2 linked regions of the Drosophila melanogaster genome follow. The protein of the gene in region 1 purifies or fractionates together with the protein of each later gene. This does not show direct contact. Each region holds a gene or a part of one and is shown on either strand. Other genes may lie near its edges. The genes, in order: otk2 and fz2.

The links.
Region 2: the proteins of otk2 (region 1) and fz2 purify together in Drosophila melanogaster (affinity purification with western blotting, with the first as the bait; one study listed by BioGRID). This does not show direct contact.

What each region holds. Positions count from the first base shown.
Region 1 is NT_033778.4:12,022,329-12,026,890, forward strand, and holds otk2 (off-track2), read right to left. Parts: upstream 2,945-4,562; 5' UTR 2,561-2,944; coding exon 2,488-2,560; intron 2,417-2,487; coding exon 1,923-2,416; intron 1,835-1,922; coding exon 1,100-1,834; 3' UTR 818-1,099; downstream 1-817. Other genes in the region: Mppe (metallophosphoesterase), read right to left, coding at 3,516-3,703, 3,764-4,271, 4,395-4,562.
Region 2 is NT_037436.4:19,232,113-19,237,054, reverse strand, and holds the start of fz2 (frizzled 2), read left to right. Parts: upstream 1-1,681; 5' UTR 1,682-2,041; exon of another isoform or gene 2,042-2,250; intron 2,251-4,482; 5' UTR 4,483-4,731; intron 4,732-4,942. Other genes in the region: CG33647 (uncharacterized protein), read right to left, coding at 1-177, 244-561, 621-695. UniProt on the Drosophila melanogaster protein: Receptor for Wnt proteins.

The sequences.
Region 1 (4,562 bases):
CATGCCATACCATACCATACCACACCATACCAATCCATTTGATGGGCGGCTGGTGGAAATGCAGGCAGGGGTGGTCGTAGTCGCAGTCGTTTAATTGCACTTGCCGCTTACTTTTTTATCTGCTGCCTGGTGGCGGAGTAACCTGCGCATGTGTAGTTGCCTTTGGATAACGCCTTTGATGTGTGGTGTGCGCTGTTTATTCGAGCGCTATAAAAAGCCATAAAATATGCATAAAGCACACTGGCAATTGGAGATTGCCAGCATATGCCAATGGAAATGGACATGGAAATGAAGCGATTAAGTGCAGATGCCGGCAATTGAAGGGAAATTGTCGCTGGATATGCTTTAGATGGAAATTCCCTACAAGATGATGGGTATGGGTGACACTGCCTCAAAGGATGGCATATCATGGTGCAAGCTAGTCAAAGAATCCAAAACAAATTGTTAAGTAATTTGGCATTGGAAGGATACCTTTTTCCTATCACAAATATAAGATATACTATTCAACATGTTGATAAACTATAATTGCTATGAAGAAACTTTCATTGTTTTAATTAAACGAAAGAAGAAACGCTGGAATGTCGCGCTATTTTACGACTTTTTATCGGAGGGGGGAGGGAGGGTTGCCTTTATGTGCAGCAAACTTCTCCGTCTGTCATAAAAAGCGCATAAAAAGCCATGGCAGAACACTCATCCGGGTTCCATGGGCTTTACGGCCGTGCCAAGTGGGCTTCCAATTTACGATGGAGCAGCGGAGGAAGTTTACGAGCCCCGCACAACGCTTGTCCGCCGCAAAAAAAAGGAGATTGAAACGATTGCGCTATAAAATGGGGCTCTATGAGAGCCATAAAATATTTATTCTACTAAAAAATAACTGTACATGGGATATATACACAGAGACACACACATGCATAAATACATAAAATATTTATATATATATAAACTAGATAAATATATAAATACAAATAGATTTCTGGGGGATTTCACAAGTTCCTTTTTGATTCTCAACAACAGAACGGAGTAACTTTCGAGGGGCATGTTTAGCGAGATCATGGAAAGTGGCTGAAAGGTTACTCCACAGGCGCAGGAGCACTACTCCTCACACAATATCGTCGGCCACCTGCGACTCCTGCTCCAGTATCGTGCTCTCCCTCAGCTTGCTCTTCAGATTCTTGCTGGAGTTGGCCTCCGTCAGGCAGGGCTCGTTTTCGTGATGGTCGTGCTCCTGACCATCGGTGGGCCCATTGACATGGCCATCTTCCAGCTGCACCTTGCCCAGGTGACGACGATAGCGGTACCACACCTTTAGGCCAAGCACCAGCACAAAGTACAGGAAGGCCAGGCAAATGATCACAATGATAATCCGGGTCACTATTGAATTGGACGCGGATTTACTTGACTTCAACACCAGCAGAACATCCTCTCGCTTCAAGCCCGCACTGCTGCCAATGGTGCAGCCGTAGCGACCCTCATCCTCTGGCCGAACATTGCGTATCTCCAGAGTTCCGTTCTCCATTAGGGAAAAGCGTTCCGGATCCGTGTTATTCTCGTTCAAGTAGGTGAGATCCTTGTCCCATTGAATGGTGGGTTTTGGCTCTCCGATTGCCTGGCAGTGGATCACGGCAGTTCCGGCTTCTGCGACCTCGATGGGTCCCTCCGGCGGAACACTGAACTTCGGGGCCACCACCACATTGATGGACACGGTGGCCGTGATTTGACCCTGGCTATTGGAGGCGATGCAGGTGTACTGACCCCGTTGCTCGTTGCTGACCTGGTTGAAAATCAGCGTGCCATTCTGATCGGTTACGTTAACAGGGAGAGGTAGCTGGGTTTCCTGGAAGGATTGAATTATATGTAAGTATTAAATGTTGCATCATGCAACTTTAATTTGATTCGAACATTCAAAAGAATGCAATGCTTACCCTCATCCATTTGACTTGTGGAGCAGGCGTTCCCTGCGCCTTGCAGTGGACCTTACTAAGAGTTCCCAACTCCAAGTTTTTGGAGGTTGGCTGTGGCACGAACTTTAGTTGCTCAATAACCAGGAGCACCCCACTGCTGGAGCTGGCAGCCACGGAGTCGTCGATGACCAACTGGCACTGATACTGACCGGCATCGCTGGCCAGCACGCTTGTGAATTGCAGGGCGCCACTGTCCTTGCTCAGCGCCACACGGGAATCCTCCCGCAGCATGGTTTCCAGCTGTGGTTCGCTCGTTGTGCTGTCCATCCTGCCCAGCTCTACTTGACGCAACGTTTTGCTATCCTTTCGCCAGCGCAGGATGACGCTGCTCTTCTGAAGATACCCATCCGGCAGTTGGTAGTCACAGGGCAATTGCAACGAACTTTGTTCCTTGATGGTAATCGAGGATTTCGGACCCCTTGAGATGCTCACATCCTCAAATGATGCTGGCGCGGCTGTGGGGCAGATAGTGGAGGAGTTATTGGAATGAGAAGAAAAGATGAGTCAGTCGGCCGACTTAACTCACCGTAAGAGCAGAAGATCAGGCAGAAGAATCCCAGGCCGCAGCCCAACAATCGTCGTCTTCCGTTCAGCCCCATTTCGAGCTAAAGAATTCTTTTGATTTCACTTCGTACTTCCTTCGCTTCTTTCGCACAAAACCGGTGTGTGCTCTTCTTTTCTTCTTGTTTATTTGCCGATTTTTGAAGGAATTCCGTTTGCCTTCGTCGGTTTCTGTTTCAGTTTCAGTTGCTGTTTCGGACTCTGTTTGCCCCTTGCTTCACTTCACCTCACTTCATTTACTCCGCCCGGAGTGGTTTATGGTTATTTTTATGTTACGCACACGCGTCACGCTTTATTATCCTGCCACAGAGGCAGAGCCCGGGGATCTTGCGAGCGATTCGGTTTCAAGGAGACCCACTGATGGTAACGCTATCTCGTGACCAGGGCACAACCTTCCGCGTTCGGTTTCGGAACTCTACTGACGCCGCATCGGGCTAATTTACCGCTGGCAGCCGGCGCACGGTTCGCACATGCGCCCTGTACTGCACCCAGTATTTCCCGTTATTTCTCGTCGGATGAGAGCGACTTCGCTGGTACTACTTTTTTTTAAAGACCTACTACATTTTACGGTTGCTTTCGGTGAAATAAGTAGTAAACGTTAAAAAGTGCGTTTTTTATAATACAAATGAATACCAATAGTATTTTCTTATGATGATTGACATTTGTTTATTTTCGAATTTTATGTATTAAATTTAACAGCTCTATAAGTATAAACCAATGAGATTTTCTTCGAACTGTTAAGGCCTAATTAAATAAATAAATTAAATTAAATTAAATTTTTTAATGAATATGGATGGAGGACATTGGTTACATTTTTTCACTTATTGGAAAACAAATTTAGCACTTTATATCAATTTTCATTGCTACTACTCAACTTTATCCGAATATAAGCTACTTGTCTATAAATACGATTTTAATTCAATTTTGAGTTGTATATTCGAGCAATTCTTGAGAATCTTGGGCTTATTGTCCATGACGAGTGGAAAGTGCAGTCTAAAATTGCGGTATAGTCGAGACGCGGTTATAGAGCGTCTGCCTTTTGGCCACGCGGAAGGGACAACGTGTCATCATCTTAAAGACGACGAAACCACAGACGACGAATAGTCCCCAAAAAACATAGGTGAAGAGCAGGATAAATCGATTTGGCTGCCACAGCACCGTGTAGCTCAGATTGTAGTTTTCTGTAGTCAAAAGCAGGGCATTACTTCCATGGACAATACAAAAGATATTTCCAAACTTACCCAAAACCGCGTAGCCCAATCCGATCTTGGACTTTCCCATGCGATACGAGCAAGTGGGCACCATTATCTCCAGATAGCTGTGCTCCTGCTCTTTGAGGGCCTTCAAGTCAAAATGCCTCACGGAGTTTTCATAAAAGTTGATCACCTTGGTGGAGGGGTAAATAAATATTCTGGATTCATGCCAGTGTCCTGAGAAAATGATATGTGGATCCAAGTCGCTGATGATGGCTCTCAACAGGGGTCCTCCGCCAATGAGCAGCGGGGCATGGGATACGCCAATTCTTAGACGATCCGCATTGTTATCCCTATCCGGGTTGCTAAAGTCCAATAGCATGCGGTTTATCTTGAAGAAGCGTAATCGATTGTCATAGTCAAAGAGGTCTTCACTCATGAATTCGTTCTCAAAGCGTCTTTGGTTCGAGTTGGATATGTAGTCGCCATTCTCGCCGCCAATATCATTGTCACCCGGCACATGGACGCGCTGAAAAAAGGCAGAGATCATGCGGAACTGTTAGGTTTTAAGGGGTCAATCCCATTCGCAAAGTTGTATAATCGCTTTGGAAAAACTTTAAATTGAAATAATTATAGGTGCAACAACAATTTAAGGTGAAGCAAAAGCAGTACTCCTTACTTTTTTGTAGTTCTTATTCTGATAAATTCGTCTGAACCGCTGAACGTACTGCTTGTACTCTTGAGCCGTGGCAATGTTGCCTTCGTCCAACAGATCGCCCAGGAACACTATGATGTGAGGCTGTGTAAAGGCAAGAGCTCGCTCGAAAGTCTTCGCCAGGTATCTATC
Region 2 (4,942 bases), on another chromosome or scaffold:
TTCGGTTTTAATATAATTTCGCCGAAGTATTCTAGAAAAGCGACCTTTAATAAGCAACCGAAATACTTTGCGATCCTTAACGCTTAAATGGGCGTCCGAAATGAAGTTCGTTTCTGGCATATAGCTGGGTATAAATTTCGAGTTAACTGTAAATCCCTTTGCGTAATACCGTTTATTCTAAAACACAATTTCCAAAATACGATATTAGAGAGTTTTATACAATTTCTTACCAGTGTTAATTACCATTTTCAACGGACATTGTATAGGAAAATTGGCGGTTTCGCGAAGCTGCGTAGTAACCATTCTAAATAAAAAATGATTTTCCACACTTGATAGCATCTGACAATAGTCTACATGTGAAGAGGTAAAATTCGTCACGTATGAACCTCTCTTAAATGTCAAAATGTAAATGCCCTTCAGGTCCTCAACATCTTGGGTTAATATGAACTCTGCGTATATTGAACCAGTGGGGTGGGAAGTTTCATTTAAGTAGCAGCTTACGTTTCTCACCAATTCTGGCATATAATTGAGGCACTCAATTTTCGTCATAAAAACTTCTTTCTATACGTTGAGATAGGTTAATGTAGTAGGACTTACATATATGATTCTATACTACTGACCTCTGCACGAACACTGCTCAAGATTAGGGTCCCCAGAATCAGGTCAACCAATATAAAAAGCTTTTTGACGTTCATACTAGTGGATAACTAATTGAAGACTAAAATCTAATGCATTTCAAACGCACGTAGGTGTGTATATTTTAAAATAAATGGGTTTTTAATGTGCTCAATTAGTGTATTACCTAATTTGTAATTGCTTATTTTTGTTGATAGAACATTAATATCGGTAAATTATTTGGACTTTTCAAGTTGGAGATGCGCAAAGTACTAATAGTATAAAATAATACTATAAAATTATTATATTATAATATATTATAATATTATATTATAATAATTAATACGGATTAGAGTGGGAGATCTGAAACAAATTTGCACGAATATGAAGCATTTAGAATCAGCTTAATAATAGTTTTCTAGTAATAACATATTGAAATAATTTGTATTCTTAAAAAAGAAAAACGGGTTTAAGATGAGTGATGATTTAGCTAGAACTTATACGTTTTCTTTATTTTACTGCGAACGCGATTTTACTGAATATAATTTCTATCAAAGCCCTTGAAGTAATTATCTTGATACCTATTAATTCTTCTTTAAATGGGCTATCCATACTATTACGCATTTATATTTAATTTATTTTTGATTTCTATGACTAATTTCTTGGTTAGATTCAGGACGATTTCATCATATTTTGAATAAGTGGTGCGAAATTACTTTTTTATTGGTCCATTCGACCAGTCTAGCATACAAAATATTTTCGTTAATAACATTGCATAAATTTATAGCTCTAATATATTTTATAATGACTTATTTATTTTGCAGAAACTTGTTTCAAAAAATTAACGTTTGGTGATTCGTTTGGTGATTACGTTACGTGATTCCGGGCAGGCCTTACGTTTCACGTAGCTCTGTTCCGTTTACCAAATCGTTTCGCGAGCTTTTTGGACCGGCGCATTTGTAATTCCATCTCTCTATTTTTCCTCCCCCGCATTTCTTAATCGTTATCGCTCTCTCTCTGCGAATTTTGCAAAACAACGGCCGGCCGTTTGGAAAAGTCGGAAGAAAGTCAGTTGGCAAGTGGAAATCACCGGAAAAACTACACAGCGCGGCAGAAGGAAAAACGTGAAAATCGCAGACGCTTACACCGCAGACGGGAAATAAAAAAAGCCAAAAAGCAGCCGCGAAAGGCAGCGCAGTCGACGTTGGCAGCGCCGAGGGCTGATAACAATAGTTAATAACAATAACAAAGCGGAATAAAAACAAAAGAGAGAAGCACATGAAAAGATAATATGTAAAAACCGAAACAAACAAAAAATCGCGCGTTTAATTAACGGACATACGACGTGAGCAGCGCGGTCGACGCCGCAGTCGCAGTTGGCGTCGCAGTCGCCGTCGCGCATTGGTGTGTGTTTGTGTGAGTGTGCGTGAGTATCTGTGTGAGCTGGAGATATAAAACTGCAATTGATTGCAATTTCGGCGGCATTTGCAAAATAGCAAGCCGGCGAAGAACACAAAACCGAGAAATCGAGAGATCTGCAAATAAAATATACAAACAAATAAAAATATATTAGTAATAAACTTATACAAAAACACAACAAATATAAAATCAGCACAACAAAAACACAGCCAAACGGTAAAGATACGAAAAAGCTAACTCATTTGTGTATCTAAAATAATAACAAAAAGCAATTCGAAAATGAGTACTTCTTGCATTTGTGTGAGCGCAGCTGTTGATGAAAGTGAAGGAAAATCATTCACATTTTCTACGGGAAAATGGGAAAGACAACAACAGCCACACACTCACACAGCTGCAAAAGAAAAGAGAGCACAGAGAGCTAAACTCAGACGACGCCAAGTTCTTTTTTTCCGCTTTTCCGTTGTTTGCATTTTATTTTTGTTTTCTGTTGTGTTTTTCGCACACAGGGAGGAAAACTCAGCCACTTATAAGTTTAAATTTTGAGTGTACACATCTTGTTTCAGTTGTTGTTTGTTTAAGAACATAAACTTTTTATAAATTCAAATGTTAAACGTAGATATTTCGACGTAGCTTTAAAGGACTAAATACTCTTTATATTGCTTTTTTTGCCCAGAATATAAAAGAATATATTTAACTTTACATAAGCTTATATTTCCAACAACGCTAAAAATACACTTTTTAACTTGTTGATTTCTTGACCATTTTTGTTAAAGTTTTTCGGAATTTCACATTTTTTTTATAAATGTAAGTTCGAATATTTATTTCTTTTTCCTTATTACACCTTATTACACTTTATTAAAGTTCATTCAAGTTCATTAACAAAGACAATATTATTTTTAATTAAAGTCTAAATTTGAACGATTTTTTTTGCATTTGTGGAATAATGTTGAAAACAATAAGATTGTTGTAAATAATCAATAAAGAATTGATCCAAGACAGGTCAATTTTTTTCTGTGTACATTTACGAGTCGAGTTCACAAGCCAGACAGCACTGTTGCTTTTGCTGCTGTTTTTGTGAGAGTATCTCATAGCTAGCTACCTAGCTGCAAAAAGTATCTAGATACTTTTGCCGAGTTTCCTACTCTTTTATCCGGCTGTCTGTTTATTGAGACGCGTCTTCAAGTTTTTTCCCCACATCATTGCATTCTTTAATTCCCTACATTTTAAATAGGAGCAGTTTCAGATGTTTCGAAATATTTATAAATATTTTCTTGCACTCGCATGTTGGCCGGCAGTCAAAGTAACACTCAACTTCAACTTCTGTCTGCGCACTCTAATTGAGTTAGTCTGGCATTTCAATGGGAGCAGCAAGCACACGCACCGCTTCTGGTCGAAAGGGGCGGAATGGTATTAGCAAGAAATGGGGGCGGGGCCGGGCTCCAGACTCAGCGGGTGGGAAATCCGGGGGGTGGCTCTTGCAGGGGTCACAGCCTAACCCGTGTGTTAAATTATGCAAAACGCTAAGGGAATGTCGAAGCAATAAGTGCAGAAATGTTTACATTCTCTGGCCAACGAAGAATATTATTCATATTTGCGTTTGGGTTAAATAAATAGGAAATTTGGTCATTTTGGTTAATTATTTTCCTAAATAATAATTAATTTTTGTTTCTTGTTATTTCTAATTATGCAATATTTATTTAGTTCTTTGAAGTAATGATTAAACCCAATCTTAATTTTAATTTCCCTCTACTTCCTTCTGATTGAGTGTATTAAATATTTCACTGAAATATTTTTCTTTTTCATTAATGCAAATGGCTTTTGAACTATTCCACACACCCACTGGTGTCTCATTTATATCTTCGCAAAGCACATTCATAAAAAAGGAACCTACAATTTCGCTCCAAACAACTTTTTTATCATAGCCCGGCTTACACGTACGAACACATATATTTTTGGGTATTTTAAAGGGTTAACACACGCTATACGACTGCCAAACTTTTCCACGTTGGCTTTTTGTGCTGGTCCTTTTATTTTGTGAAAATGTTTGGCATTTTTTGTATTAAATTGTCAGTGAAACGAGCGTTGGACCGTTTCCGAGGGGCATGGCAACAATTCAAAACGTGAACTGCCACTAAAACATGCCAAAAATCTGCGCATTTAAAATATTTGCCCCAGAGCCCATTGAGATCCAGCCAAGCGATGGATGGGCGGCGGAAGGGGAAAAGAGGAAAAATGCAGGCATTTTCCTGCGATTTGATTTAGTTGTTGTTGGCCGGGTTACACCTTTTCACTCACACCTGTCGTCTGTGTTTTTCTATTTTCAATTTTTTTTTCAGCAAACTACACGTCTGCGTTTTGGTTGCCCCCTGCAAGTCCTTTGTTTTCTATTTAATAGCTGTTTTAGCCACTTGCACGTGATCAACAATTAATTGGCAATATCTTTTTCAGGTTCGTCAAATCAAGCGGATCTCTCCAGCCAAAATAATCAGCAATCTGATGTAGCAAACGCCTATATATAGAATATACGAAAATGCAACCATTCCGTTCCGCGCCGTGCTAATGCAAACGTATACGATCCGAAACCGATAAATATAGAAATACAATAAACCCAAGTGAAATAGCAATTTTAAACGCCAATAAAAACAAAATATACCAATTACACTGCCCAAGAGAACATCAAAGGAACTCATTTTGGAGGTGAGTTATAACAACCATTAAACAATTATATGTCTATTATAAGGTATAAAATATGAAATAATAAAAAAGAGATTGCAAAGCTATTTCTTCTAGAAGAACTATAAATATTATTGCATTATAATTACATTCTACTGTAATGTAAAATGTACATGCGAAAACTTGAAAGATGATAATGTTTTTCCACACACACAAGACCGTACTTCTTGTTCCA